2 linked regions of the Anolis sagrei genome follow. The protein of the gene in region 1 interacts with the protein of each later gene in a biochemical or structural test. Links are inferred from orthologs where the notes say so. Each region holds a gene or a part of one and is shown on either strand. Other genes may lie near its edges. The genes, in order: STON2 and SYT1.

Evidence for each region.
Region 2: the proteins of STON2 (region 1) and SYT1 form a complex in vitro, tested with the Homo sapiens proteins (2 studies listed by BioGRID). The link is inferred for Anolis sagrei from reciprocal best matches to the Homo sapiens genes STON2 and SYT1.

What each region holds. Positions count from the first base shown.
Region 1 is NC_090021.1:309,878,694-309,895,110, reverse strand, and holds the start of STON2 (stonin-2), read left to right. Parts: upstream 1-9,626; 5' UTR 9,627-9,830; intron 9,831-16,417. UniProt on the Homo sapiens protein: Adapter protein involved in endocytic machinery. Involved in the synaptic vesicle recycling. May facilitate clathrin-coated vesicle uncoating.
Region 2 is NC_090025.1:147,888,060-147,905,201, reverse strand, and holds the start of SYT1 (synaptotagmin-1), read right to left. Parts: upstream 7,740-17,142; 5' UTR 7,325-7,739; intron 1-7,324. UniProt on the Homo sapiens protein: Calcium sensor that participates in triggering neurotransmitter release at the synapse. May have a regulatory role in the membrane interactions during trafficking of synaptic vesicles at the active zone of the synapse.

The sequences.
Region 1 (16,417 bases):
AGAATAATCATTGGGGAACATTTTCCTCAGTTGAGACAATTATTGGGGTAGGGAATGGCTTGATGAGATTGTTAAAGGTAAGTTCCACAGAAAATAAATAAGAGTCTGCTTGCAATCCATTGTGAAAGTGAAACAGAGTTGGGAGTCACTACTATGTTGATGATATTCAGCTCAATTTCACCTGGTTGGCAAATGGGCTTTTCTAGAGAATGTACCTTTCATAGTCTCATGGAGAAATTTCCTACCCCAATAATAAATCCAGAGGACCTCCTCCAGTGTTTTTATGTAGATGGCAAAAATCAAGAGCACTACTGAACAATATAAATCAACAATAATGAGGCTGAACAGCAATCCTCAGGGACCACATTCTGGAAACAATGTTGTCATAGTCATTATATTTGTATCCTAACTTATTCCCAGTCTGAGACTCAAGGCAGATTACAATGTTATAGAAACAGCTAAAACATTTACGTATTTAAAAAATAAATATATAATTAAACTAACAATAGAATTAAAGGCATGACCATCAAAAAGAAAACAGCAAATAAGTAGTACAGCATGTTCTTCTAGAGTGACCAGCCTTCAAAGACCTGCCAAGATAAAATGTTTTCAACTGTGGAGAAGAACTGCAGGGATGGGATCAGTTAAACTTCTCTAGGAACAGAGGCGGTCCTAGGTAATTTTCAATGGTAAACAAACAGTATTTTGGCGCCCCCCCCCCCCAACCAATCACTGATCTAGATAGATAGATAGATAGATAGATAGATAGATAGAGATATATAGATATATAGATATATATTGGCATAGACAAATTTTGGCCCTCCAGGTATTTTGGACTTCCTACTGGTTGTTTGAAATTGTGGGAGTTGAAGTCCAAAACACATGGAGGGCCAAAGTTGGTCCATGCCATATATATGTGTATATATATATATATATATGCTAGCCATCCCCTGCCACACGTTGCTATGATCCAGTCTGGTCATCTTGAAAAGAAAGTAATGAGAAAGTTGGTTTCTTATGTAATTTCTTGATGCTTGTGGGTAAACAGTATTTCTTGTTGTTTCTTTGTCAGTGTTAATGTGGTGATTGTCTGGTTTGCCTACTTTGGAACATAAAACATATCATTGTCCTTCTTTAGGGATCCCTTTCACATCTATGATATTATATCTTCTGTGTGTGTGTGTTTGAATCCTATAGATCTATCTATATCTATGGCAGGATGGCTCTTTGTCAGGAGGGCTTTGATTGTTTTCTTGCTCTGGTGAAGGGAGTTGGTCTGGTTGGCTATAAGGAAGCATTTCTCAACCTGGGGGTTGAGACCTTTGGGGGGATCATGAGGAGGTGTCAGAAGGGTCGCCAAAGACCACTGGAAAAGTGTTTTCTGTTGGTCATGGGGGATTCAATGTGGGAAGTTTGGCCCAATTCTATCGTTATTGGGGTTCAGAATGTTCTTTGATTGTAACTGAACTATAAATCCCAATAACTACAACTCTCAAATGTCAAGATCTATTTCCCCCCCCCCCCCCCCAAACTTCACAGGTGTTCACATTTGGGCACATGGAGTATTTGTGCCAAGTTTGATCTAAATCCTTCATTGTTTGTGTCCACAGTGCTCTCTGGGTGTAGGTGAACTACAACTCCAAAACTCAAGGTCAATGCCCACCAAACCCTTTCAATATTTTCTGTTGGCCATGGGAGTCCTGTGTGCCAAATTTGGTTCAATTCCATCATTGGTGGAGTTCAGAATGCTCTTTGATAGTAGTTAACTATAATCCCAGCAACTACAATTCCCAAATGACCCTGGAAGGAGGGCCGAAATTGGCCCAGGCCTGTGTATGTATATGTATGTGTGCGTGTGTACACACACACACACACACACACACACATATATATATATATATATATATATATATATATATACACACACACATATATATCTATGCAAGGAGGAGGCCGCTGCCAAAGAGGGCATTGGTGGCGGCGGCTTCCCCCTTGACCATCCGTGCTCTTTCCTCCCCAGGCTTGGAAGGGACCCTTTTAGCCACGGAGCAGCAGAGGGGCGGGGAGGAGGCTGCTGGCAAAGAAGGCCTCAGCGGCGGCAGCTTCCCCCTCGCCCCTTTGCTCCTCCGTCCTCCTTCCTCCCCAAGCTGGGCGCCAGGCTTGGGAGCCCAGCCCGGGAAGGAAGGGAACTTTTAGCCACGGAGCAGCAGAGGGGCGGGGAGGAGGCTCCTGCCGAAGAGGGCCTCAGCCGTGGCAGCTTCTCCCTCGCCCCTCTGATGCTCCGTCCTCCTTCCACCCCAGGCTAGGTGCCAGGTTTGGGAGCCCAGCCTGAGGAGGAAGGGAACTTTTAGCCACGGAGCAGCAGAAGGGTGAGGGGGAAGCTGCCGCCGCTGAGGCCCTCTTCGGCAGGAGCCTCCTCCTCGCCCTTGTGCTGCTCCGTGGCTAAAAATTCCCTTCCTCGCCAGGCTGGGCTCCCAAGCCTGGCGCCCAGCCTGGGGAAGAAGGAGCATGGAGCAGCAAAGGGGCGAGGGGGAAGCTGCTGCCGCTGAGGGCGAGGAGGAGGCTACTGGCGAAGAGGGCCTCAGCGGCGGCAGCTTCCCCCTCACCCCTTTGCTGCTCCGTGCTCCTTCTTCCCCAAGCTGGGCGCCAGGCTTGGGAGCCCAGCCCGGGAAGTAAGGGAACTTTTAGCCATGGAGCAGCAGAGGGGCGAGGAGGAGGCTCCTGCCGAAGAGGGCCTCAGCGGCAGCTGCTTCCCCCTCGCACCTCTGTTGCTACATCCTCCTTCCTCCTCAGGCTGGGCGCCAGGCTTGGGAGCCCAGCCTGGCGAGGAAGGGACCTTTTAGCCATGGAGCAGCAGAAGGGCGAGGAGGAGGCTCCTGCTGAAGAGGGCCTCAGCGGCGGCAGCTTCCCCCTCGCGCCTTTGCTGCTCTTGCTCGGAGGAAGGAACCCTTTTAGCCACGGAGCAGCAGAGGGGCGAGGAGGAGGCGCCCCTGGCTGAAATGAAGTGTTCCGCAACGGCTTACTTTGCGAAACGGTTGAGCCGCCCCTGTCTAGGAAGAAAGTCTAGAAGCCACCATCAAAAGCCTCTCTTCCATTTGCTCTTCCAAAACACATGGATGTACCTATTGAAATGGTAGGACAGAGAGACAGGCCAGCCCAAAAGATCTTGCAACCTATTCAGGCCCATATTGGAAAATACAGTCCTTCAGATTATGTGTACCTGAACCATATAGAACTGTATAGGTTCTGCCTATACACTGAATTGTGCTTAGAAACAGACCAGCAGCCAGTGACCTGTTGCAGCAAGCAGGCTGGGTGTTCCCTGCAGCCTGCCCCAGTTATAATTTGGCCAAACAGGACCAGAATCACACCCAAACAGTTCCCCTAAGTGCCACAACAGCCAAATAAACCAGAGACATATCAATGATCAATGATACCAAATACCATTGAGAGTCTAGTAAAATAAGCACCACCCACCAATTCCATAGCATATGATACTCATGAAGGTGACCAAAGAGGTTTCTGTCCCAAAACCAGAAGTGAGGTCAGATTGGGATAGTTAAAATTAATGAATTTTATCCAAACCCAGTACTTATTATTTCCCCACCTGCTCTAAACATTACTTTGAAAAGGAAGATTAGAAACTTGTTGATAATTATCTAGGGTTCTGAAACTAGTAAGTCTTTGTAAATAGGGCTATAAAGGCTTACTTTTGAGGTGTTGAAACACACCTTTCTTTGAAAGCATCATTTGCAGTCTCTAGCACACAAATGACTAGCCTTTCTTCCCAACCAGGATGGATTTGAACCTAATAAACAAGCAGTTTCCCTCACCAGGCCAAACAACTTGTCCACATGATCAGGTTGTACAAATAGAAATTTACCCACCAAAACTATACAAGCGCCTGCATCTTTCTAGAGTCTTCCCAAAGATGAATCAAAATGGTAATGGGCCCAGCCCTAACATTAGGCAGAGTTAGGCAGCCATAATGGACAACAGATACTAGTGATTATGTAGGAAAGCAAATTGCTTGTCATGTAATTTGCTATTACTGGGTGTGTTTTTTCCCAGTGGCTGAAGATGCAGAGTGGTGCTTTGAGTACTATGTGAAGGGCAGGTGCCACCTGGTGCCCAATGTCCAACAGCAAAATATTTTGGATTTATGTTGGTTGATAACGTATCTTATCCAACCAGGAATCAATTTATTCTCGAAGGGATTGTACTTCTCTAAAGAACAAGAATTGCTGCTTGAGTCTGCATTTAGATACAAGGTGAAGGGGAAAATAGCCCATGGGCCTCATGCACCCCCTGAATCCTTTTTGTTATCCAAAACGTCCCAAATGTTTTTCTTTATACCAGTGGTTCCCAACCTGTGGCCCATGCATCACCAATGATCCGCAAGAACAAAAATATGGTCTGCGGCCTCACTATTATTACACCGTTGCTTCAAAACCATGTGGCAATGAGAGCGACTGGTCTCGCAAAACCATCTTATAGTGCTGAGGGATGTTGGGAGGGGAGAAGCTGACTACCCACCAAAGATCACGACTACCATATCAGCTCTAGATTATTAAATATGGTTTTCTGTGGATGAGCAGATGGCAACTAGCACATGTTCTGTATCAGAAACTAGAGCCGATGTGGTCTATCCAATGCACTTTTCTGAATCAGCATCCCAAATAACTAAACTGAATCTAAAGTTGTCCAAAAGCCGATTCATAACCCTTTTGGTACTAATGTTGGAGAGTGGTCCCTGCTCAAGTGGTTTCTGGTCAAGTGGTTCCTGGTTAAATGGTCCCTGGTCAAGTGGTTCCTGGTCAAAAAAAGCTTGGGAATAACTGCTAAACCATTTGGTCCAAACAACCCCAAAGACTCTTCTAGGACGATAGGGGCCAATTTTGCCATGCTCACAGTGCTCCAGACATTTTATTCTCCAGAAAATCTTTTTGCAAAAGGAGATAAACTGGAAGTTTACTTCTGGGACTCTTTAGTGAAGGCCCCTCCTGGCCTATACTGTGACCAAATTCCACCCCAATGGTTTTAGGGAACTTCTGGTATTAAAAAATTAAAATGGAACACGACTTTTGGAAACAACTTGAAAAGAGTTATCTTATCCCAAATAAGGCTATTGATTTACAACTTGCCAATTTTAAACTTATTTACCAGGGATCACAGAATTGGTAACTAGGAGACACTAAAATTATTCTTAAACTTGCAAGCTGCCTTGGACATTTTTAATGTGCTCTATTGCACTGCCAAGTGCACAATGCAAATGTTTGTTCAGAAATGGGGATCTGACTATTTTGGTGCATTTCTGGTGCACACACTGTCAGAACAAAACAGATCCTTATTTTGTGGCCTGCTTTGTAGTCAAAGGTGGCCAACAGGGAAAATGTTTCTCTTCGATGCCTTATTAGAATAAAAAGCTTCCCGTTTTTATGCCACATAGGGAGAGTGTGGGAATTCTGAGGCAAAACTCCCTACATTTTCATATGAATGCTTTTCATTTTCAAAGAAAACACCAGCTGCTTATAATGAACAGAAGGGAATTTTATAATGTGTTGATGTTGCTGTTGCTGAAGTATAAATGCAAATCATTCTCTTAAATTGCTTATTTAAATGGATTAGCTTGCACTATTATTATAGCTTCAAGGTAAATGATACTGTGCATAGCAGAAGATAAGTAATACTGTGCATTCTGTAATGACCATAACAAGTCAAGAAGACTAAACATTAAAAAGAGATGCATTAAAGAGATGGCAATATATAAATAAATAGTGTTGATGGGAACACTTCTGTGAAGGGCAGAATGCAGCGTGCTTAACAGGGAGAAGAGGAGTTCTGCTCACATATCTATACAAATCTATAGATTTGTTCACACTGTTCTGTCACTATCAAATCATAATACCTATATGATACATAGGACTGGAGAACAAGTCCTATGAGGAGCGGCTTAAAGAGCTGTGCAGAAGAGAAGGCTGAGAGGAGGCATGATGGCCATGTATAAATATGTAAGGGGAAGTCATAGGGAGGTGGGAGCAAGCTTGATTTCTGCTGCCCTGGAGACTAGGACTCGGAACAATGACTTCAAACTACAGGAAAGATTCCACCTGAACATCAGGAAGAACTTCCTAACTGTGAGAGCTGTTCAGCAGTGGAACTCTGTCTCGGAGTGTGGTGGAGGCTCCTTCTTTGGAGGCTTTTAAACAGAGGCTAGTTGGCCATGTGTCTGGAGTGCTTTGAATGTGATTGTCCTGCTTCTTTCAGGCCCACGAGGTCTCTTCCAACTCAGTGATTCTATGATTCTATTACTGTTCGCAGTATGGGGAGTGCTCCTCAATCAGTCCCCCCAAATGTCAGCCCAGGTAGATGTGATGATCAGAAGTTCTTACTACCAAGTTCGACTGATACGCCAGCTTTGCCCCTTCCTAGAACTGGAGGACCTAAAGGTGATAGTGCATGTGCTGGTAACCTCAAGGCTGAACTTCTGCAATGCACTATATATATACCTCTGTACCAAGTTGGGAAACTCCAATTAGTTCAAAACATGGCATCCAGATGGGTTACAGGAACATCTTTAAGTGAGCATATTATACCCATACTAAAGCTACTCCACTGGTTCCCAATTAGTTTCCAGGCAAAGTACAAGGTGTTGGTTATAATCTTTAAAGCCCTCCATGCTTTAGGTCCAGGTTACCAACAGGATCGCCTTATCCTACACAATCCACCCCTTCTACTGAGGTCTTCTGCTAACTCCACCCAGGCAGAACCCAACTGCTGACTGTCACCCAGAGGACCTTTTCATTGAATACCCCAAGACTATGGAATGACCTGCCAGAAGAGCTCCAACAGCTAAATGAGATGTCAGCATTCAAGACAAAACTGAAGATCTGTCTCTTCAAGCAGGCCTACTCAGCCAATTTTAAACTATACATTTTACTTTACATTTTATTAGTATCCATGTAAATCTTAGCTATGCGTATTTTAATATATGTATTTTAAAGGTATTATGTTTTATCCATGTGTTTTAAATATGCTGTACCCAGCCTTAAGTCATGAGAAGAGGCAAGTAACAAATTTTATAGAATCATAGATTCATAAAGTTGGAGGCAGAAAAATCACATTCAAAGCACCCTTGTGCATTGTTATCTTGTTATCATCATTATTATATCAATCTTCCTTTAAAGACCTACACTGATATAACAAAATGTGAGCATATTGACATACATGATAAGCACACAAGTTTTGTAATTTGGAAAGTAGCTACAATAAACCTCCTGTCAAACCATGTGAAACTAGAAATTGAAAACAGTGATGAAAGCTAAAAGTCATTTCACCCTGGTACTTTTCCTAAAGAGAACAATGGGGACAGAATTCACAGAATCAATGAAAATTTAATATAGGAAAATCAACACTATGGAAGCTATGGAAGCCTATTTGTGCAGGAAAACCATACATGCAAGAAAAACCTAAGTTGAAAAGATTTTGCTTTGAACACATCATTTATTTATGTATGTTACAGTATTGATTTTTATCCTGCCTGTCTCCTGATTGCTAATGACCAATATAAAATGATGTTAATTGAAAACCATGTGAATACATTAAAATGTAAATATAAAATTAAAAAACAAAAACCAATAATGTATGCTATTAAAACTAATAAACATTAAAATATTAAAATTATTAAAGTTTTATGCCCACCTTAAAATTCCAATCACACTATATTTAAAAGCCCAACCCTAACAGACCAAAGCGGGGGGGGGGGGGGGCGGTCATCCTGGCCTCTGTATATGTAAGATATAATATACAGAGGCCAAAGAGGTTCTTTCACAAATCTCTCAACAACAAAAAATAGGCATGAGCTTGCAGCACTGGCCACATTGTCTGAATGCCCAGTCACCATCTCCCAAAGCAGTTACTATACTCCCAAGTAATGAATGGAAAATGGAATAGTGGTGGACAGGAAAAGAGATTTAAAGATGGCCTTAAAGATGGGAGACGGTGGTCAGGCATTCGGAAAATATGGCTGGTCCAGCTGAGTTGATGGCGGAGGACTATCACTTCAGTGCTGGTGGTCTTTGCTTCTTCCAGAATGCTGACATTTGTCCACCTGTCTTCCCAGGAGATTTGCAGGATTTTCCAGAGGCAGCGCTGATGGAATCGTTCCAGGAGTTGCATGTGACGTCTGTACACAGTCCGTGTTTTGCAGGCATATAGCAGGGTTGGGAGGACAATGGCTTTATAAACAAGCACCTTGGTATCCCTACGGATGTCCCGGTCCTCAAACACTCTCTGCTTCATACGGAAAAATGCTGCACTCGCAGAGCTCAGGCTGTGTTGAATTTAAGTGTCAATGTTGACTTTTGTAGAGAGGTGGCTGCCAAGGTAGCGGAAATGACCAACATTTTTTACTGTTACACCATTAAGCTGTATTTCTGGCATTGGAGAAGGGTTGGCTGATGACTGCTGGAAGAGCACTTTGGTTTTCTCGATGTTTAATGACAGGCTGAGCTTCTCGTATGGTTCTGCGAAGGTGTTTAGAGTGGCTTGTAGGTCTTCTTCTGAATGCGCACAGACAACATTGTCATCAGCATATTGAAGTTCTGTAACAGATGTTGTTGTAACCTTGGTTTTGGCTTTCAGTCTGCTGAGGTTAAATAGCTTCTCATCTGTCCAATAGATGATTTCCACTCCAGTGGGAAACTTCCCATCAACAAGATTTCTGTTGTTGTTGTTCATTTGTTCAGTCGTTTCCGACTCTTTGTGACCTCATGGACCAACCCATGCCAGAGCTCCCTGTCGGCCGTCACCACCCCCAGCTCCTTCAAAGTCAATCCAGTCACTTCAAGGATGCCATCCATCCACCTTGCCCTTGGTCGGCCCCTCTTCCTTTTTCCTTCCATTTTCCCCAGCGTCATTGTCTTTTCTAAGCTTTCCTGTCTCCTCATGATGTGGCCAAAGTACTTCCTCTTTGCCTCTACTATCCTTCCCTCCAATGAGCAGTCAGGCTTTATTTCCTGAAGTATGGACTGGTTGGATCTTCTGGCAGTCCAAGGCACTCTCAGAACTTTCCTCCAACACCGCAAAATAGCAAATAGCAAAAAGAAAAGAGAAACCACTTCAAAATGATCTCAAAAGACAAACGAGATTGGTCTGGAATGACCAGGGTGGGACAAAGGACTCTTGTCTGCTGGAGCTAGGTGTGAATGTTTCAACTGACTATCTTAATTAGCATTTGATGGCTTGGCAGTGCCTGGAGGAATCTTTTGTTGAGAGGTGATTAGATGTGCCTGATTGTCCTTTGTCCCACCCTGGTCATTCCACAGATATATAAACTCTTTTTTCCTAGTTCCAACAGACCTCACTACGTCTGAGGATGCTTGCCATAGATGCAGGCGAAACGTCAGGAGAAAATGCCTCTAGAACATGGCCATATAGCCTGGAAAAGCTACAACAACCCGATGCAGTTCAGTTTTCCAAGTGCTCACTTAGGTAGCAGGTGGCAAGGGCATGCATGCTATGCACTCCCAGTTAGGTGCTGAGGATAAGGAGGGGCCGCCCCGCCCACCTGCTCCCTCTCCAGCCAATCAGGCTTCGGAGTCCCGCCCACCAGAGCTACCCCTCTCTAACCCTGATTCCTCTCTCCAGAGGGAAGGCGGAGAGGTCGGCGGCTGAGCCGGGTTTGGTCTGGGTTTCCCTTTGCTTGCTTCCCTTTTACCTTGATTCCTGGAAGGAGGGAGAGGGAGATCCCTTGGAAGCAAAGGAGGCAAGTGGAGGGCAAGGCAAGGAGAGCAGGTCGCAGCCAAACAGGAGGCGCTTGGTCCCGAAAGGTAAGGCGGGTTGTGTTCGCTTTGATCGCAATGCAAAAGGGGGAAGCTGGCTGCCGGCTTGGTAAAGGAAAGGAAACAAAAGGCTAGCTGATCCGGGCTCAGGGCGGGCTGGCTGGTTGGCTGGTTGGAAGCCCGGCGAGAGGAAGAGAGAGCTTGGGCTGGGCTTCTTCTTTCTCCCTCCGGTTGCTTTAAACCCAAATGCGCACCTTGTAGTCTGAATGAGTCAAACCAGGAAAGACTTCCACTCAAGAGAGCCCGCCCAAGCCTCCCTCCCTGCCCTCAAGCAGGGCAGGAACGGTGTGCTGTAGGCAGCCTGGGGGGACAATCATCATCATCACCATAGAATCAAAGAGTTGGAAGAGACCTCATGGGCCATCCAGTCCAACCCCCTGCTAAGAAGCAGGACTATTGCATTCAAATCACCATAATAATAATAATAATAATAATAATAATGCTTTATTTATATCCCGCCCCCTCTCCCTCTTCAATATACATGATTGGGTGGTGTGAGTTTTCCAGGCTGTATGACCATGTTCCAGAAGCATTCTCTCCCGACGTTTCGCCCACATCTATGGCAAGCATCCTTAGAGGTTGTGAGGTCTGTTGGAAACTAGGCAAGTGAATCATAGAATCGTAGAGTTGGAAGAGACCTCATGGGCCATCCAGTCCAACCCCATTCTGCCAAGAAACAGGAATATTGCATTCAAAGCATCTCCAGCAGATGGCCATCCAGCCTCTGTTTAAAAGCCTGCAAAGAAGGAGCCTCCACCACACTCTGGGGCAGAGAGTTCCACTGCTGAATGGCTATCACAGTCAGGGAGTTCTTCCTCATGTTCAGATGGAATCTCCTTTCTTTAGTTTGAAGACATTGCTCCGAGTCCTAGTCTCCAGGGCAGCAGAAAACAAGCTTGCTCCCTCCTCCCTATGACTTCCCCTCACATATTTATCCATGGCTATCATGTCTCCTCTCAGCCTTCTCTTCTTCAGGCTAAACATGCCCAGCTCTTTAAGCCGCTCCTCATAGGGCTTGTTCTCCAGACCCTTAATCATTTTAGTCACCCTCCTCTGGACACATTCCAGCTTGTCAATATCTCCTTTCAATTGTGGTGCCCAGAATTGGACACAATATTCCAGGTGTGGTCTAACCAAGGCAGAATAGAGCATGGGTAGCATGACTTCCCTGGATCTCTTTATGTAGGCCAAGATTCTATTGGCTTTTCTGCTGCCGCATGACATTGTTAACTGTTTAACTTGTTGACCACAAGGACTCTAAGATCCTTTTCATGCATACTGCTGTCTAGCCAGGCATCCCCCATTCTGTATCTTGGCATTTCATTTTTTCTGCCTAGGTAAGAGTATCTTGCATTTGTCCCTATTGAACTTCATGTTGCTAGTTTTGGCCCCTGGATCTAGACACTGTACTCCTATTGATGTAGGCCAAAATCCCATTGGCTTTTTTGCCGTTGCATCACATTGTTGGCTCATGTTTAACTTGTCCACGAGGACTGTGAGGTTTATATATCCATGGAATAATGTCCAGGGTGGGAGAAAGAACTCTTATCCGCTTGAGGCAAGTGTGAATACTGCAATTGGCCACCTTGATTAGCATTGAATAGCCTTGCAGCTTCAAAGACTGGCTGATTTCTGCCTGGGGGAATCCTTTGTTGGTCGGTGTTAGCTGCTCCTGATTGAAATTTCAACAGAAAGGAGGTAACCATGAAAATAAACAAAATCTGGCTACCCGTATTTTTTTAAAAAAAATCTAAAATCAGGACAGTAAATAAAGAGAAACACTCAACTAACAGGGCAATTCTGGACATAAAACAACCACGGCCAGCTAACACCTCCCAACAATTATTATTATTATTAAACTTTATTTATACCCCTCCACCATCATACCTCAGTGACTCGGGGCGGCTAACATGAGGCAAGCCTGACAAATACAATAAACAAAATAAAATACATACAGCAAATAATAACTCAAATAAAATATAAACAAGAAAGAAAAATAACACAGTGGGATAAAACACCAGGTATGAGGTATGGTGAAAAGTTAAAAACAAAGGAGTTGAACAAAGTGCCCCGGGAGATTGAGTGAGATGGAAAAGGGAGTAGTATCTAGAGGGAGAGATATGGATGGGACGAGCTATGGGGTTTAATGTTCCTGCCAGGGATGAGATAAAGTGCCTTATGCTGGATGGTCATGATATGGGGATTTCTTATTCATTCATCACAAGCAAGGTGGAACAGCCAAGTTTTCAAACGTTTCCTAAAGGCTGACAAGGTGGGTGCTTGCCTAATCTCCCTAGGTATTCCCCCAGGCAGAAACAAGCTACTCTTTGAAGCTACAAGGCCATTCAATGCTGATAGCCTGCAGCCTCAAAGTTTGGCTGATTGCTACCTGGGAGAATCCTTTGTTACTGTCTGGACAGTAAATAAAGAGCAATAGTAAAAAAAAAAAGCAGACAAGAATTAATCAGGGCCAGCTAACACCCCCAAACAAAGGATTCCCACAGGCAGCAATCAGCCAGGCTTGAAGCTGGAAGGCCATTCAATGCTAATCTAGGTGGCCGATTGCAACATCCACACCTGCCTCAAACATACAAGAGTTTTTTCTCCCACCCTGGACACCCTATTTCCTGGTCTGTCTCTCTTCTAAATTCATTCATTTCCCAGACATCAGTCAATAGGGAGGAAGGTTTCAGCCAATTCCAATCGACAATGTATTGACATTGTGGCCTCACTCTTCACAATACATCAATTACTTAAATACTTGTAAGCTTAACTTATCCAAGCTTGTATGATTCATATTTTGAGTGGTGTTCTAATGTTTAGAAAAGTGAAAGGTCATTTTTAATTGAAGTTGCTTTGGTTCCCTTAGACTTTTTTTGGCAAGGTTCAGAAACATTGCTAATACAGTACAATAATACAATCATAGACTTGGAAGGGATGCAAAGGGCATCTAGTCTATCTCCTTGCCCTTTGGATAGTATGCAAATCCAAAGAACTGTGGCAAAAATCCAAGAGTTAGAATCCTTTCCAGATCATTGCTTGCGGTCTCCCAATAATACACTTTATCTATATTCTGCCCTTCTCCCCTTGGGGACTCAAGAGCTGATTACAGTATATACAGCAAGCATTCAGTGCCTTACAATCACAAACAATGAGACACACAAACACAAACAAGGTAAATGCTTCTACTTTCATTTCTGGCTCTAGGGGAGGTGCTTTTCTCCATTTCCTAGCCAAGGAGCCTGGTTGTGTGGCCAGCAAGACTGCTTGGACTGTCTTCCTTTTGTTGTTGTTGTTTTTTTGTTTTGTTTTTTTGCCTTTTTTTCTGCCAAAGCAGTAACTATTTATTTAATCACATTTGCATGTTTTCAAACTGCTAGGTTGGCAGGAGCTAGAGCTAACAGCAAGAGTTCACCCTGTCCTGTGAATTCAAACTGCCAACCTTCAGGTCAGCAGTTCAACTGCACAAGGGTTTAAGCCGTTGCACCACTGTGGCCCGAAGAGCCATAGATTCTTTTCATAGGTTTTAAATGCTGTATGTTATTGAAATTGTTATTGTTTATTGCTTATTGTGTATTTTCTGTTTTTGAGTTTATTTTAACTGTTTTGTATTTACTATTTGTTATCGCATTTGTTTATTGATGTGCTGTGGGCTTGGCCTCATGTAAGCCGCACCGAGTCCCTTGGGGAGATGGTAGCGGGGTACAAATGAAATTTCATTATTTATTATTATTATTTTCAAGTCAATGTCACACACCTTATATTTGAATATCTTGTTTTCCTCCAAGGTTGAACTGTATCTTGTTGATTTTGGCCTAGCTGTCTAATCTGATCCCAATATTGCCTTCTGGGGTATTCCCAGTTTTCTGAAACTTTGATAGGCAGGTCCTCTGTTCTGTCTTCCAAACCATTTATAAAGATATTAACCAAAACTAAGCCAGGGACAGAACCTTGTGGTGCCCCACTTGCTGATTCTCTTCCTGATGAGGAGAAACTGTCGAAATAAATACTGTGTATGTGAAAAAAAATAGTTTGCCAAGTCTGAAGTAGAGGAGCCATTGAGCAGAGCAGGAGACAGATTTCAGCAGTGGCATTTTGCCACCTGATTCACAGCAGCCAATGTGTGGGGGAAAAATCCTCCATGCACAATTCAAGATGCTTAGATTCCAAGGTACATCACATTACTCTGGCACTTGAAGAAGAAAATCCACAAGGGTCTCATTATCTCCCTGGCAGTAAAAATACAATGCTTAAATTGCCCCAACCCCCCCCCCCCCAAAAAAAAAAAACACCCCTGTCTGTTGTCTATCAAAATGAGTTGCCTTATATGGCATCTTACTTTGTCTAATGGAAGGCCAGTCAGGGTCATCAGTCTATTGCAGGTATGGGGAAACCCAGGCCCGGGGCCCGGATGTGGCCCCTTGGGCTCTTTTCTCAGGCCCTCCAATCTCTCACCATCCTATCCTTCATCCCTTCTCTCTTTTCTTCCTTCTTCCCTCCCTCTTTCTCCCTCTCCCCTCCTTTCTTTTCTTCCACCTTTCCTCCTTCCTTCCCACTCTCTCTTTCTCCTTCCTTCCCTTTTGTCTTTCCTTCCATCTTTCTTTCTTTCCTCCCTTCCCTCCATTTCCTTCCACTCTTCCTTCCTTCCATCCATCCATCCATCTTCCCATTCCTTCCTTATTTCCTTCCTTCTCTTTTTCCTTCCTTCTTGCCTCCTAGGGGATGTATAGCCGAGAGAAGAAAAGGTAGAGAGGGAACATAAGAACCATGTTGCAAGATTTAAAAGTGTGTCCCATTGAGGAGGAGGGGGAAAACTGACTTTCTGCTGCTCTACAGACCAGGGCCCAAGGGAGCAATGGGGTCAAATGGCAGGGAAAGAGATTCGACTGCAATGATTAGGAAGAACTTACTGAGAGTAAGAGTTGTTGAAGAGTGGCATAGGCTGCCTCGGAATGTGGTGGAGTCTTCTTCTCTGGAGGCTTTTCTGCAGAGTCTGTCTATCGGAAGTGCATTTTATTGTGCCTTCTTGCATGGCAGCAGGTTGGACTAGATGGCCCTCGGTGATCTCTTCCAGCTCTACGATTCTATATCAGGAGTAGACAATATGGGACCTAATGGATACACTTTTTCTCTTCTGTTCACCATCTCATCCTAACAAAGGCTAACACTTTTGGGATCCAAACGTTTCCTGTTTTTAATTCACTTACTGCCTCCAAAAGAGAAGAAGAAAGGGCTGGGGGGACGGGACTTGGGAGAAACTCCTCTCTTCTTCCCTCCTGGCCCATCCAGCCCACCACGTAGCCCCCAAGTTAGAAAGTTTGCCCATGCCTGGTCTATTGACCTAGTTCTTTTTACACAGGTTTCCATTAAGGTGGTATGGCCAGTGTTTATAGGAAGAGGAGCATTTTGTTGATTTTCTGTCTCGACCTCAGTTGTTTGGAGCTATTTCTCACAATATCTTTTGCATTGCTATATTTCCCTTCATTAAAAGAAATAAAACCTTGATGTGAAAAAAGAAACTTGAACCTGTTTCCAAGACTAAGCATCCTCCATAATTTCCATGCCACACATTGTTAGCCTTCCTATGTTATACTTTCTCCAGTTGAAATTAGAAGGGAATGGATTTTGAAGTAAGTTGTCTGTATGATATTGGATTGTGCTTGTGGTAGGTCTTTGATTGTATCCCATACTCTCTGATAATATGGAATGCCGAAGCAGCACCTGAGTGCACTATGATGAATTATATATGTTTTGAGGCCTGTTTTTGAAAGGTAAGAGGAAGCTGGCAGTTTGACTACATATACCCTAGAAGCTTTGTGTGATAGACTGAAGTCTGCAAAACATCCTTGGAAAAGTTAAAGGCAAAAAGCCAAGATACAAGTTGGCTAAGGAAAGGACATACAGCAGCCAGGGTACAAAGTGCCAGAAAACCCTTAAGAAGAATAGATGAAAAAGAGAAAAAGAACAGAAAGAGTTGTGAGAGCTATGATCAGAGTGTTGAGAGTAGCTGTAATTGTTAATATCTTGTCCTTACTGCATATAATTTTATGCAGATGTAAAGTTGTTATGTTTTTTTCTTCACGTCAGCCTATGCATGATTGTCACAGGCTCAGTAAATTTCATGTCTCAGTCAAGATCTTTTTAAATCCAACCCTATCTAGTCAAACAAGTAAGACAAATGTAGATTGAGTATCCTCTATCCAAAATGCTTGGGACCAGAAGTTTGTGGAGTTGGGTTTTTTTCCCGGATTTTGGAAAAACTGTGTTTGCAAATAAATACACAATGAGATATTATGTAGATGCGACCCAGGTCTTAAAGGTAACATCCATTTCTGTTTATGTACCCATAGCCTTGAATATAACTTTATACACAATATTTTTCATAACTTTGTCCATGAAGCAAAGTTAATGTGTACACTGAAACATCAGAAAGCAAAGGTGTCATGATCTTAGCCACCCTTGTGGATAACATCATTTTTGGAGTATTTCATATTCTGGAATTTTAGATAAGGAGTGCTCAACCTGTACAAGTCATGATGATTTAATTGGTCAACCTTTTGACTGCAGGCATCTAG
Region 2 (17,142 bases), on another chromosome or scaffold:
AGAAAGCACAGTATTTTCTGTTGGTCATGGAGGTTCTGTGTGGGAAGTTTGGCCCAATTCTATAGTTGATGAAATTCAGAATGCTCTTTGATTACAGGTCAACTATAAATCTAAGCTGCTATAGCTCCCAAGTGTCTATTTTCCCCAAACTCCACCAGTGTTCACATTTGGGCGTATTGAGTATTTGTGCCAAGTTTGGTCCAGATCCATTGTTATTTGTGTCCACAGTGCTCTCTGTGTGTAGGTGAAATACAAATTCAAAACTCAATGTCAATGCCAACCAAATCCTTCCAGTATTTTCTGTTGGCCAGGGAACTTCTGTGTGCCATGTTTGGTTAAATTCCATCATTGCAGGAGTTCAGAATGCTCTTTGATTGTAAGTAAACTATAAATCCGAGCATCTACAACACCCAAATGACAAAATCAATCCTCCTCCCCAACCTCACCAGTCTCTAAATTTGGGCGTATCAGGTATTTGTGCCAAATGTAGTCCAGTGAATGAAAATACATCCTGCATATCAGATATCTACATTATGATTCATAACTGTAGCAAAATTACAGTTATGAAGTAGCAGGGAAAATATTTTTATGGTTAGGGGTCACCACAACATGAGGAACTGTATTAAGGGGTCAGGGCATTAGGTAGGTTAAGAACAACTGTTCTAAGGCAATATTTCAGAGGAAGGAACTGGCAATCTTTGCCTAAGAAAACCTAATGAAATTGATGGAAGTGCCACAAGTCAACAGGCAACACACACACATGCCTTTCAATCAGGCACAGGCAGAATTAGACTCAATTTCAGCTCCTTAAATCTAAGGGATGTGACTCAAGCTCTCCAGCAAATACATTAAGATAGTGATACATTTGCTTCCAGACAATAGAATGTACACAAACTTTAATTATGCACAAAATTATTAAAATATTGTGTATAAGATGTATATGAAGAATTATATAATGTCATCGTTAGACTTGGGTTCCATCTTCAAGTTATCTCATTAAATACATTCAACCACCCACTCCCCCAAAATAAACAAAAATAAAAATTTGGAATACAAAAGAGTGCCAAACATTTTGGCTGAGGGATGCTCAACCTGTATTTAAGGAAGAGATGCATAGCAGCTATCTAGACCCAGATATTTACAAAAGTGACATCTGTATTAGATTTGCTCTGTACAGTTAGATACTGCTAAGGCAACAAGAATGTGTGTGGTTTGAGAATAATACAAACAAACTAATGAGAGGGTTTATGATGTGGTGCTAAAAATCCAATTCAGAAAAATCAGCAAACAGAATACGGCAACAACAAAAAAAAAGAATATGTAATAAATAGCTTTTTGTAAAAGAGAGGTTAGGAGACATCAAGAGCCTTTCTATAAAACAAATAAATAAAAAATTCACTCCTAATAGCCCAGTCTTTTCCAACTATCCAACAGACCTGCTCTTTTGTGTAGAAATTATGTTTTTGATCCTTCTATAAATAGCACACCATATGGTAGTGAAGTTGTCTATCGGTTATAAGAAAAAGACATACAACAACAACAACAACAACAACAACAACAACACATCTAGCCTAATAAAACAAGCAACCCCCGCCCCCACCATTATCTCACTGAAGGACTTCACCAAAATTTCAGTGTGCCTTTCTCAAGTTTGGAATTGCAGACTACAAATCATAGAAGAGTAGCTGGGTGGATGTCTTCCAGACTGAATCAAAATAATAATTCAATAATATTCATCAGAATCATGCAATCAAACTAGGTAACTAGGTACCCCCTTCTTAGTATAGCTTGTGTAAACTTTTTTTTTTTACTTATGGAAACAGTTTGCCTATTAGCATCTGGCAGTTTCATTGTGTTTGTTTGTAGATCTGATCCTACGTCCCATTGAATTATTCTATTTCAGTTTAATTTTTTTCTAATCAATGAGCAAGAATCTATTAATTTTGTGTGTGAAATGAGAAATTTTGAAACATAAAAACAGACATTCTTGGCTAGCATCTCCACTAAAAACATTGGACATAATTTTTAGCATATAGTTCAGCTTTCTCGGTTGCACTTTCATATAAACTAGTATAAAATTTTAGCTATTTCAAGATAGGATGTTGTTGTTGTTGCTAATTTTATTCAATCCAATTGATTGAACAATGTGTGTCTCCACATATTGTTACCTAATGCTATCTCTGTAAATAAAAGAGGAATAAATCAAAATTAATGAAATAAAATACAAAAATTATATTAAAAATTCTGAAAGATACATGGACTAGGCACATAACATTGTGTAGATTCTCATTTTACACTACAGTTATACAAAAACAGTTAACTGGAAATATATTTCATATGTAAATAATATAACTCTCTCATCAGTGTTAAATATTTTGTTCTGTTGAATGTTGCCCTAAGGAACAACAGTTCATGTTGTTTTTATCTAGCATGAGTACTTCCAAAATATCAAACCCCTATCAGATAATCAGTCACTGTAAATATATTTTGTGTGCTGTTGTTTTATTCTGATTTTTTCTCCCTACACTAATAAAGAGGAACTGTGCTCAAACAGAAGTGAATTCCAGAAAGAATCTGCAAAGAATCTTCCAGGACTGAGAGGCACAGCTCCCTCTAGAAGAAAAGAAGAAGAAATCCCCAGTGGATCCACCTTAAAGGAACTGGTGAAAACAAAAACAGAATATGACAGAGAAGAAAATGTTGAAATCCCAAAGCCATTTTAAACCAAGTTGAAAATACTTAAAGCTGGTATTGTCTTAGGGCTTGGATTGCATTCCTCAAAATGATTTTTCTCCAGTAATCTCGACCAAAAGTCAAGTGGACGACGTGTCTGTTAAGGTATTTCAAAAGTAATGCTGAACTACATTTCAGATTACTGGGAAAATCAACACACACAAACTGTATTTCAAACTGTAAAAAATGGAATGAAATGATGAACAAGTTAATTTAAAGCATACTAGACATATATGCCAATAGTCTATCCATGTCTGATTTCAGGGATTTGTTTTTGAGTGGGCAACTTTTTCATATTGTTAATACAAATGATTTACTTTTCTTGACATGGAACACTTAGATCAACAGCATAGTAGTACTGCATAAATCTGGCAGTTTTGCATCTTAAAAAATCACTATATATTTTACAGAAGTGCTATTTTCTTTCTGTATAGTCATATTAAATATGTGCACCACATGTGTGAGAGTGTGCATTATAGTTCTGTACAGCATGTAATATCTGTACTATTTTAAAACCTTCCCTAGTTGGTTGGTGCACAGCATTAAAAAAATATATCTCCCACAAAACATATGACTTTTATACATATAAAATATCCTCCAAATACTTGTTTGCTTAATACTGCATTTATTAATTTAAGCATTTTAGTGTGAAATGTTCCTTTTGAATGTCATAGGAACATAATAGCATAAGCTTTATCCAAAACCCTTCCCATAGGTACACTTCTAATTAAGGTCTTTTGAATACATTATAAAACTCAAAACAAACAAATTTAGAGGCCCAAAATACTAAAGTAGTTTGATTTTTTTTCTTGTAAAATTCTGTATCAGAGCCATTTAATCAATAATTTTGAAATCTAGAGAGAGAGACAGAGAGGGAGTAATGGCTAAGCAAAATACTGCCACTTTAATACTAAATATAATTTCCTGATTAGTCAAAATGCTTTTATATATGAAACACAAGGGACACCCAAAAGCCAGCATTCATAGGAACTACGGACAGTAATACACTGAATGCCGATGATGACTTTTCCAAGTTTTTAAATATCTTGGTATCAAATGGTTGTAATTTAATTGCTATATTTGAAAGTGATTTTATTGCATAAATAGAAATTAACCACAATGACATGTTCAAATGATTTAATTTCTCCCTGAAATACCATAAATTAACTATAAACTTTCTAAAGAGGCAACTCTGAAAACATCTCGTCACATCCAGGATAACAATCTGTAAATGCACAGATTCACCATTAACTTTTATTTTATGCTCATGGTCTTTTTATTGTAATTAGAAAAAAAATGGGGTATTGCTCTCTCACATCTCTAGCAGAGTCCCTTTCTGTAACCTCAATCAGCCTCTTCTATTTAGTCAATAAAATAGCCTTGTATTTGGATTTGCAGTACTTATTCAAACAAAAAACCAAAAAATTCCAGTATTCAACATCCAGTGTTGCTCCATCCTCATGTCCTCTTTTTATTTTTGTACTCCTTGTGAACAAGTGCCAAAAGATTTAAACATAATATCCATTGGTTCAATAGGGGGGGGGGGGGATACAGTTTGTGAGATAAAACTCCAAATTCTGTGATCAATATTCCTATAAACAGAGGTAATTCTTGTAGCGTCAATCATTCAAAGGTACTCTGAAGTATTTTTAATGTGTAGGCAAATTAGGATAGTATAAATTGGTAGATTGTTTTTACTTCTGCAAGTGCAAAGGAGTTCACAATTCCCTGCAGAATGCCATTATCTGGCTTTCCCTCTATTTTGCCCTCTCTTTACAGGATCTGCCTGTTGTCCTGATTTTTACTGCAAGCAATTAAGATTCATGGACCGCTTGAAATGATGCGGACTCACAGAATTCAATGAAAATAATCCAGTGCAGATGAGTACTCTCAGTAGCTTTCATTATATTTCTCAGTTTTGGGGTCATACACATTTCAAATGCTCCAAGACAGGTGATCAGAGTTCTGACTTTATATACAATATATTTATTTCTAGGCATTAGCAACAAACAACTTTAAAAAAGGCAACAGCCTGGTTGGGAGGGGGAGAATGTCTCCTAACCATAAAACTAGGTCACGTTTAAATAACCAAATCTTCTGCACTTTCAAGACTTATTGCAATGAACATGCAAGTATTTAAGGTACGAGGCATCATTGTACTTGCTGCATCAAAATACCCGTCTGCCATAGGTCAAGTTTATAAGAGATAAAGTATTTCTGAAATCCTCTTAACGGCTGTTGAGCGTCTTGCTTTCTCTGCCGGCCCTGACATGAGTGCATGCAAAACACTGATATACTCAAGGGAAAAATTCATTACATATTTATCAAGGCAAAATATATCCTTTAAAATGCAGAGTTTCAGATAATATGAATTTTAAACATAGGTTTTAAGATTAACCCTATGAGACTTTTTTTAGTGGACCAAATGCCTGTACTTATAATCTCTTTTTGCATCCGCTTTAGAATTAAAAATAACTCTCCATTAACAATACTCAGGAAGACACACAGCACGGGTATAAAAGCAGAAGAGCTGCTGAAAGCACAAAACATGATTGCACAAATAAGGGTCATGCTTTGAGTTGCAGAACCTTAGTATCTAAAATTACTGTACGGACTCAGAACAGAAGAATATATGGAGGGTGAGGCAGTGAAAATGCTGTTAAAAGATGACATGTAGTGAGGAAAATGTATGAAATTGGTCCCAGCTAATCACATAGATACCATCTTTAGTCACAACAGGACATTAAAAAACAAAACTTGGCATTCTCCTATGCCAATTGGAGGCTTATATCCATCAACCAATTGTGGCCAAATATGCCTTCCTACTCATTTAGAACTTCACTTGGAACACTTTCCACTTATAATTACCCAGGAGACTTCTTTCTACCACTTCCACTGACCAACATCCCTCAGTTGGGGCTGATGAATAAATAATAATAATAATAATAATAATAATAATAATAATAATAATAATAAATGAACAACAGTAAAAGGCATCTCACATCAGTGTTGACTGAGTTGCAGATCACTGAAAATGCTATAAAGACTAATTCTGATGAGAGTGTGTAATGAACATGCAATGCTCCAGTAAGTGGCCCAATATCTTTCCAAGGAAACAAGAGGTGATGGGAGGGATATCCTTCAAAATGCCTTGGATAACTTTGTGACACCAGCTTTTTAAACTTTTCCTAAGCCTTCCATACATCTCATTTTTAACCGTATTGTGAGTACTGTAATACCATATGGCTTATGTAGATTATTGACAACAATCCTTTCCACATTATCGGTGAAAGAGAAAGTATGGGGAGAATGATAAAACAATTATAAAGGGAGATGCTATTAATAATGATGATGGGGGCACGGGGGGCAGGGATATAGATCTGCCAGCTCTTCTAAAGATGTGCAGGTCCATCATTTATAATGTCATTTTTTAAAACTCCAAAAACCATGATCTCAATCATTTTTTAAAAAAATTCAAAAGCATCCTTTCCATCCCCTGTATCACAACAAAACCCTTTGCATTTCCTTGGATGGCACTGAACAGGCTGCGCTCTGGCATCAGGAGATGCTGAGCCAACCTTAAGAAATGGGGCCACAAAGTGGAGCCCACGACATGCGAGTGTGGGGAAGAGCAAACCACAGACCACCAATTAAAATGTAGTCTGAGCTCTGCCACATTGCACAATGGAGGACCTTCTTGTAGCAACTCCAAGTGGCCAGCTTGTGGTCAAAGGATATTTAGTATAATGCCAAGTTTTTAAACTTTGTTTGTGTTTTTAAATACATTACAACTGTACCTTCAGTTCACTTCCGATATGAAAAATAAATAAATAAATTTCCTTTGGGGACTGTTGCTGGAGAATAACAAACATCACGGTTTGCATCTAACTCTAGCAGATGATGAATCTGAGTGAATCCTGAACACAGGGGATTGGGGAGCTAGGCTACCTTGTGATGGAAATAGTTGATGCTGAAACTCTGTTTCCATCATCACCCAATGCATCATCCCTAGAAGAAGGGGGACTTTGGGAGGCTGGGACTATGATTAACTTTTGTTCAGTGTCCTCATTTTCCCTCCTCGCACCTTGTTGTTTGTTTGAGAGCAAAAAAAGAAAAAAAAAGAAAAACCAGAACTAGAATGGTCCTTTCCAAAGCTGTTTCTCCTGCTTGGAGGCAGGTGAAGGGTTTGTTTACTGTCGGGTAAGCACTTTGGTGCTTTGGAGGCGCTGAGAAGGATGCAGCATCCCCTCCTTGCCTCTCCACCTCCTTCCATTTCACCCCATGTTACCCTCCATCCAGCCCACTTCTCCTAGGAGAGAAACACCCAGGTGGGTGGGAAGCTTTTTTTTTACCTTCCTCGAGTGGGTGGAGATTGCTAGACAGCAACCCAACCCAAGCTCCCATCTCTTTCCCTTGAACCCCAACGCCATTCCCACCTTCCTCCCCCCACAGTTCTCTGGAGAAGGGCCATGTGCTCCTTTGGCCGTCCTTTCCAAAGGTCCCTCTCTCTCTCTCTCTCTCTCGAGTGGTGCCCCTCACAGACTTCCAAGTGGTAGCCATGAAGCCAGCCAGCCAGCCAACCCCGCCTTACCTGCCAAGCCGAACTAGCAGAAGGAAAGAAGGGCGGGAGGAGGAGACGAGGCTGTCCTTCAGCACTCTTGTTCTTTCTAGTGTCGAGAATGGGATGGAAGCCTTGGAGACCAAACAACGGACCGGCGCAGCAAGGCGAACCCCTTTTTTTCCCCTCAGGCGAGCGCCCACATCGCCTCAGCGCGCGCTCCCGCGCCTCAGCGGGTCTTCAGCTGAGCCCCCCTCCCCTTATTCCCCCCTTTGTCTCGGGGGTTAAGTTTCAGCTGCTACTGGCTGCTAAGCAGAGGAGGAAGAGGAGGAGGAGGAGGAGGGAAGGCTTGGGAGAGAGAGAGAGAGAGAGAAAGCCAGCCTGGACTCCACGGAGGGAGGGAGGGAGGAGGGGAGGGAGGGGCGCACAGCTCAGAGCATCACCGCTCTGCAGCTTCTGCTAGGAATCCCTCCACGGAGGAGGGAGGGAGGGAGGCAACGCCGATTGGCTGCGAGGCGGGGATTGCCTCCGCCAGAGCCAATCAGGGCGCCGGCATCGCAGGTGGGGCTGTCTGAGGCAGCATCGCCCTTCTTTCCCCCCACTGTCGTTACGTTATTGCCTCTTCCCTCCTCCCGTTCCAGATACACACACGCACACCAGAGATAGAGATATATACACGCATTCACAGAGGGAGAGGGAGGGGGGGGGAGAGAGAGAGGCGCGCACCCGCCTTCAGGGGCTGGGGAGGGTGTTCCCCCACGAATGACAACCAAGGGCACGCTCTGTGGAAGGGGCCGGGGGGCTGCGCGTCCCGCCCACTCCTCCTCCTCCTCCTCCTCCCTCCCACTTTCTCTGCCATGGGAAGCCAGTCGCCCGGGTGACCTGATTCTCTCCCTGACCCTCGCCTTCCCTCCTCCCCTCCGCTCCCTTCCCCGAAAGCTGGCAATTTGCAATATGGCATCGTTGAGTGCGAGAAACACAGAAAGACATCCACGAGCAAGCGCCAGGGACTCCCACAGAAGCGGCAATGGAAATGAAAGCAAAGCCTGAAACAGAAAGAGGGCCCTGGCCTTCTCACCTCTTGGCATAGGCAAACTCTGGCCCTCCAGGTGTTTGGGCTTCAGCTCCCACTATTCCTAACAGCCTACGTTGCATTCTCCCCAGCATCATTCTCTTCTCCGAGCTTTCCTGTCTTCTACCCCTCTATTCTGCCTTGGTTAGACCACACCTGGAATATTGTGTCGAATTCGGGGCACCACAATTGAAGAGAGATATGGACAAGCCGGAATGTGTCCAAACAGGCATGTAGCCAGGGGGAGGGGGGGCTTTGGGGGCTTCAGCCCCCCCCCCCCCCCCCGAAATTCTCATGGTGGTCTACGAAAAGGCCTTGCTGGTACATTATTTAAACTGTTCTGTCTATTCATATCATGATCTGATCACCATGCCCAATATATCTCATATGCATGGGGGTAGCATGGGGGTATTGGGGTAATGATGCAAAAGGTTTGCTAGGGTAGACCCTCTTTCACTCAGACTCAGCCCCCCCCCCAAATCAAACTCAGCCCTCCCCCCCCCATCAAAATTCTGGCTACAGGCCTGTGTCCAAAAGAGGGCGACTAAAATGATCAGGAGTCTGGAGAACAAGCCCTATGAGGAGCGGCTTAAAGAGCTGGGCATATTTATTTATTTTATTTTATTTAAAGCATTTATATTCCGCCCTTTTCACCCTGAAGGGGACTCAGGGTGGAGCACAATATATAAACGGCAAACATTCAATGCCAAAACATATTATACCATACACATACAAAAGCATTAAAATCACATATCTTGATGTTAAAATCCACTAGTTAAAACTATCTCAACAACCATATCAAATTTGGTTGGCATACTAAGGGTTCCTATCGCTGCCTCATTGCACAGTCCCAAAGGCTCAGTCCCACAGCCACGTTATCATCAGGACAAGAGGGAGGGGGCTGACCTGATCTCATTAGGAAGGGAGCTCTATTGTCGAAGGACAATTACTGAGAAGGCCCTGTCTCTTGTCCCCGCCAAATGCTCCTGTGATGGTGGTGGGACCGAGAGCAGGGCCTCCCCAGAAGATCTTAATCTCTGTGGTGGTTCATAGGGGGAGATGCGTTCAGGCAGGTAAATTGGGCCGGGGCCGTTTAGCCTAAAGAAGAGAAGGCTGAGAGGAGACATGATAGCCATGTATAAATATGTGAGAGGAAGTCATAGGGGGGAGGGAGCAAGCTTGTTTTCTGCTGCCCTGGAGACTAGGATGCGGAACAATGGCTTCAAACTACAAGAAAGGTGAACCTTAGGAAGAACTTCCTGACTGTGAGAGCCGTTCAGCAGTGGAACTCTCTGCCCCAGAGTGTGGTGGAGGCTCCTTCTTTGGAAGCTTTTAAACAGAGGCTTGATTGCCATCTGTCAGGGGTGCTTTGAATACCATTTTCCTGCTTCTTGGCAGGGGATTGGACTGGATGGCCCATGAGGTCTCTTTCAACTCTATGATTCTATGATTCTCATTATGTGGCCAAAGTACTCCATCTTTGCCTCTAATATCCTTCCCTCCAGTGAGCAGTCAGGCTCTATTTCCTGGAGTATGGACTGGTTGGATCTTCTCAGAATTTTTCTCCTGCACCACAGTTCAAAAGCATCTATCTTCCTTCGCTCAGCCTTCCTTATGGTCCAGCTCTCACATCCATAGGTTACTATGGGAAATTCCATTACTTTAATTATGTAGATTTTCAGTGCAACCATGCACATCTACAGTGTGGAAATAATGCACTTTGGTTCCACTTAAACTGCCATCTTTAAATATTATGGAATTCTGGAAGTTGTATTTTTTACAGTCTTTAGTCTCAGAGTGCTGGTGCCTATCGGCTGTTAGGAATTGTGGGAGTTGAAGTCCAAAACACCTGGAGGGCTGATGCTTGCCCATGCCTGGTCTACACTGATTCCACTTTAATGGCCATGGTTAGATATTGTGGAATCATTGGCATTGTAGTTTGTTGAGGCAATGTAGATGTGTATAGTTGCACTGAAGATCTGCATAATCAAAGCAATGGTCTTCCCCATAGTAAGCTATGGGTGCAAGAGCTGGATTATAAGGAAGGCTGAGTGAAGGAAAAATAGACAATTTTGAACTGTGGTGCTGGAGGAAAATTCTGAGAGTGCCTTGGACCGCAAGAAGATCAGATCAGTCCATACTATAGGAAATAATGCCCGACTGCTCACTGGGGGGAAGGATATTAGAGACAAAGATGAAGTGCTTTGGCTACATAATGAGAAGACAGGAAAGCTTGGAGAAGATAATGATGCTGGGGAAAATGGAAGGGAAAAGGAAGAGGGGCCAACCAAGGACAAGATGGATGGATGGCATCCTTGAAGTGACTGGCTTGACCTTGAAGGAGCTGGGGGTGGCCATGGTCGACAGGGAGCTCTGGCGTGGGCTTGTCCATGAAGTCACAAAGAGTCGGAAGCAACAACAACAAAGATGTACCCTTTGAGTTCTCTTTCAGCCTTTCTTCTTCCTCTTAGCAATGGTTAAGCTATTTTGTTGAAGTGAAGATGAAGAGGGGTACACCCTATATCTTAATACTCCCTCATTTTCACTATACAGAATTGGTTGGCCAATGGCTATCCCATTCCCAGACAGTATCTGTAGTAGCAAGTGGATTTAAAATAAGAATTTATGGACTTTATGACACTCAGGGGTTTCAGCAAAATACAAACAGACATCTTTACAGCTTTGATTCATTATGAATTGATCTGATAATTGCTCTGTAAAAGGCAACTCACAACAAATGCTGGGTCGAAATGCCCAAATAGATGTGGAAACAAAGCTATTCTGAAGCTCCCAGGAAACATAAAAAATATTTTGCAAAAATTAACTCTTTCACAAAATAATTGCAAAAGTAGAACGGAGGATGTTATATGTTATGTTTTTAATCACATGGCAAGATTTCTTGAAGGCTTGAACCCAAATCCGAAGCAAATTTTCTTCCATGCACATTTTCCCTATAGTCTAACCATCAATTCCTTTCTAGAAACACCAGAAGATGAGTATGTCTGTATTTATGTTATTTTCCTTACGTTCTGTCACAATAGTCTGTTCAACGTTTGAGAATTATGAGTGTCTAAAAATGATGATTTCTCACATGTTAAAATTTGGACACAAAGATACATTCCACAGCCCATCTATCTAGTGCGCATCAGTTGAAGTTGCATCGTATAGTGTGCACTCCATTTTTTGTGAGACCACTGTATATGGACTGAGGTGTGGAATCCAAACTGTCTGATAACCTTTGTGCCAGACTTGTCTGCCCATGAAACATGATAAGGAGCTGTCCTAAGAATCAAATTAATGGTCCATAGAGCCCTGTGATGGACTGCAGTTCTCCAGGGACTGCCTGGAAGAGATTTTTCTAACTCTTGCTGGCTGCAAATATCAAGGGTTGAACTTAAGCTATAGAGGAAGAGTTTTGCCTGACAGGAGAGAAGGCTTTGATTTGATATCTCAAGGAACTATTGACAGTTTTTGTGGAAATGTTGCCAGGGCAGAAGGAGCAGGGGAGAGAAGTGCATACAGGAGTCAATACAGTAGGGAATTGGATTATGCCCTAAGTCGAATAGCATATATTTTAACCATTTAAATTCAATCGCTAGTTCTAACTAGAGGAAACCCAGTGAATCAACGAGACATACATAGCTGTTGCTTTATGCATTTTCTAGTTATTTCACATATCTATTCTTAAAGGGACTAACAATAAGATTTAGGTTGCTATGAGTTTTCCAGGCTATATGGCCATGTTCCAGAAGCATTCTCTCCTGACATTTTCCCCACAGCTATAGCAGGCATCCTCAGAGGTTGTGAGATTTGTTGGAAACTAGGCAAGTGGAGTTTATATATCTCTGGAATGTCCAGGGTGGGAGAAAGAACTATTGTCTGTTTGAGGCAGGTGTGGATGTTGCAATTGGCCACCGTGATTAGTATTGAATGGCCATGAAGCTTTAAAGCCTGACTGCTTGCTGCCTGGGGGAATCCTTCACTGAGAGGTGTTAGCTGGCCATGATAGTTTCCTGTCTGGAATTCCCCTCTTTATTGAGTGTTGTTCATTATTTACTGTCCTGATTTTAGAGTTTTTAAAATACTGGTAGCTAGATTTTGTTCATTTGCCTGCCCACCCCCACGAAATAAGGAGACTGACAACAATAACTTGGGTTCAAATTGGACAATTGTTAATAAAATTACCTATTTAACTTTTTCTGTTCTAACTGGGGTGAGTCTTGAACTTGGTGAAGGGCAAAGCCGAGGTAGCATCCATACCTGGACTACTCCCCGGCGACTTGGGCGAAACACCTGGGTCCCCTGCAAATTTACAACTGGGCAACCTCTAAGGAAACCTGGAGAAGCCTCCCCCAATGTTATTGAGGCCAGATTCTCACCAATTTAAGGCCAGTTGATTTAACCTCACCCCATCCAAGTGATCAACAGGTCAGTGTTTTAGCTACAGGCCATCACCCCTGAAGGGGGTGCCTTGGGTATACGCCGAATATCCGATTGTCCTCTCTATTTATGCTAACCTATTTAGATGCCACACCACCCCAGCTAGCCCCTATGTTCCTAGAACATAGGAGAGGTAAAAATTCCTACTCGGTCCCAGCTGGCAACAATGCATATACTTCCAAAATGGGCAGGTGTGGTGGGTCACCAAAAGAGCTCAGAATGAGCCAAGGGGGCTGAGCCACAGGCTTAGCCCAGCTCCATCCTCTATTCTGGATGGTTTCATGGAACCAACCATTCTCCCTTTGGAGTGGGAGGCAAATCTCTCTCTAACCCTACTGCACAGGGATGGAAAGCTCCTTTTATGGTTTCTTCCTTTCTGTTGAAATTATACACATGCTTGTGGATTTCAATGGCTTCTCTGTATAGTCTGACATGGTGGCTGTTAGAGTGGTCCATTTCTGTGTTCTCAAATAATATGCAGTGTCCGAGTTGGTTCATAAAGTGCTCTGCTAAGGCTGACTTCTCTAGTTGAAGTAGTCTGCAGTGCCCTTCATGTTCCTTGATTCATGTTCGGGCGCTGCGTTTAGTGGTCCCTGTGTAGACTTGTTCACAGCTGCATGGTATACAGTAGACTCCTGCAGAGGTGAGAGGATCCTTTTTGTCCTTTGCTGAACGTAGTATTTGTTGGATTTTCTTAGTGGGTCTGTAGATAGTTTTTAGGTTGTGTTTCTTCATCAGCTTCCCTATGCAGTCAGTGGTTCCCTTGATGTATGGTAAGAACACTTTTCCTTTGGGGGGATCTTTGTTTTTGATGGCTTGTTCTTGGTCTTGCAGCTCTTCTGATGTCTGTGGTTGAGTATTTATTGACCAATAATAAATAAGATTTAGTACCATTTATCTATTGTGTTTGCACCCTACTTTTTCACCCAAGAATTCAACAAAAGACGTGTCTTGATAATATTACTATTCCCCTGTGCAGTAGGGATGGAGAGAGATTATTCCAGAGCTTCTTTCTATTTGAGATGACTTAAAGGTTATTGTATATTTATGCTGCATTATATTGACTACATTTTAAAGTTTGTGGGATGAAATTTCAGGCACAAATGAAGCTAAATTACCATTAGATGTCTACCATTAGGCTTTTGGGCTTTCAGCATCCAAAAAAAAGGATTCAATCAAGTATCATTGTTTTGCCAGATGTTACTGCTTTTGATATGAAGCACAACTACCATGGTGTGTGTGTTTGTGTGTGTTTCCTGTTGTGCCACTGATGTCTAATATCACCTGCAATGTTTGTATTAACAGTAGCAGTATTCAATAGTAACTAATGACTCTCACATACAATAAAGAACCATGCCTAGCAAGCACAGCAAGGGGATGAATCACAAGTCCACAGATTAAAGAATCTAATGCCACAAAATGAAAAATGATATAAATTAAGTATTTATGCACATTATTTTGGAAAATAATGAAGTCAGATAGATTTGGGCTTTTTCACACTTGAAAGCAGATTTCCCAGTGTATTTCTATCCTCCTTGGCTGTAATATTATAACAATAATCAGAATGCTTGATGCAGTTTTCTAGCAGGTCTTTCTGACTTTGTGGAACCATCAAGCTTCTTCTATGTGCAGTGCACTAGCATAATACCGTTGCAATCCTATGACCTTATAGAGCAAAAACAGGAATAAACTGAGCAACACCAGCAGTTAATATCATAGCATCCATGGCAACATCATCACTAGTTAGCAGCAATTGCAGTGCTGCATCCTAATGGTGACACCACAATATGCATGTTCAGAAGAATATAGTAAAGGTACACATTGCAACATCCTCATGATACTACCACGCATAGTACATGGTGGCATAGTGGAGCCAGGAATCACATCAGAACCACATGGGACTTTTTGATTGGTTAGGGTAAACAGATATCATTTTCCTCTTCCCCAAACTTACCTGAAACAAAATTTCACTACTGGAAAAAGAATGCAACTTTCCAGATGCCTTCTCAGTACTCATTCATCAATAATAGTTATTGCTGCAGAATAAGTTCTGAGAAGGGATCAGGAAAGCTGCACTTTTTTCCTGGTTAAGTAGGTGTCTACATCCATTTTCCAGTCCATTTAGGCAATTACACTGAACCTATGACATTATATATTGTACTCCTTATTCAAGCTCTGAACCTAGGGTTCATTAGTATCTGAAGGGTAATGCAGATTGCTGAATTTGTGTTCACCGATTTGGATCTTTGTAGAATTAAAAGCCTTTCCAGATACATGGTGGCACCTCTCACACATCAGGAATTTATGGCAAGCAGGGTCATGTTTTTGTACAGTAAATATTGATTTTCTGATTCCTAACACCAGGCACTTTTCTGACCACACCAGGCACTTTATTATTTATTTATTTCATATATTTATATCCCGCCTTTCTCCCCACAAGGGGGACTCAGCATGGCCTCACATGAGCATCAGAGGATGCTAACAATATAAATACCATAAAAACTACAACTTACAATAAAATCATTTTAAAACATTGTACATCATCAATAAAAGTTCTCCCTCATTCAGAGTTGTACAAATATCCAACACTGACTTGGATTCAGATATAAAGAATTATGAACTAGCAACACTGTAGGATCCTGAAAGCAATGAACCCACCAAAGCCTATCTCCCAGAGACTGTGAGGCAGAACCTATCAAGAGCCTGGAAATCTTGTCCCCAAGGCATCACACTCCAGTAAACCTGCTTGCTGCTGTAGTGCCACAGAGGAGGCCTATTACAAGGAACCCTCATTGGAAGAGCTTCCTGTTTAAGGTGCAAAACAAATTTCTACAAAATGTAAAAAGCTGGAAAGGGGGAAAAAGAATAAACCTACTCAGTTTAGATAGCCATTACTGGGAAAAGGCTTGAGAGCTCTGTCCAGGGTCCTGAAAGACAAGGCTTTGTCATTGTCGGCTTTAGTTGATTTGGAATTCAGTATTCCCAGAGCTGTTCACAGAAATCATGTGTGTTTGTGCATCCATGTTTGTGTGTCTAATACAAATATAAAACACAATGTAGTACAGCATCAATGCAAAGGAAAATACAGACATTTTTTTAATCTAGTAGAACTAACATTTATGATAGCAATTAATTTAACATGGAACAGCAGTAGAGAAAGGGATTAACCTCTTCCCTGTGTATTACCTATATTCTAATTAAAACATACCCCTGTGCACCTCCAGGTATTTGGCCAGGAGTGAAAATATGACTGACACCATAAAATTCTTTGGTTTTCCCTTTTACCTTAGTTTAAGGCTGCTTCTTTTTTTCCTGCTTGCATTTAACCTTTTTCCCCAAGCCTTGTATGTTTCAAAGTGGAGTGGTCTGCTTATCACATAACAGCAGTGCAATGAGCTTTCAGTTCAGGAAGAAAAATTACAGAGAAGATAGTGCTTCTTTCTCAGAAATTGATATTTGCTCATGGAATTAAAACACAAATGCTGTTCCACTAATGAAAACATGCAAGCCATTTTTGCTTTTCTTTGGACTATATCAAAATAGATCTTTTTAGCAAGTATGCATATAAAAAATCATGGGGGAAATAACTGGAGAAAAGGTTAAATTGATGACCTTTTGCTTGTTTGCTTTCCAGAATTGATCTCTTTTCAATGTGTTTTTTTAAAAAATAAACCATGTTATACTGTTATATTTATAGTTTAGGAAACAAGACTTTCATTTTTTCTGATGATATAGCAGGTGAGAGTTCAAAGGGTTGCAACCTGGAATATAGAAAGCAGAGATGAATGATCAATGGATTTAAAGATATTCTAGGCTTTGATCATAAAGAACATTTCTACATGATGATATATAGGCGGCATTTGACCCCTGACAAAACTATCTAACATGTATAAAGAGATAAAAAATGTATGCTGGAAACGTGAGACACATCAAGCTAAGAAATATTGGAGATGGATGCAAGATGGATGCAAGTGGATTTAGAGTCAGCTTTATTTCTGTTAGGACTACTAAATGAACAAATTCAACACCTGAATTTTAAATTATTACACTATATTCTGTAAAAATACTGTTGTTTCAAAAATGGAAGAACACAAATGTACCTACACAAGAACATGGCATCTTAAAAGATATTTTAAATGGCAGAAATTGACAAATTATCTAGTATGATTGAAAAGCCAGCCTTAAATAACTTCTTAGAAGATTGAGAACACTTTTTAACCTTTGTAAAAAAAAGAAGGAAAACATGGAAACGTTTGTGTGATTTAAAGATTACATTCCATAATATTTTTGTAGTTATAAGGTAGAAATCAAGACTATATATTACACTATAGTGAGAAGA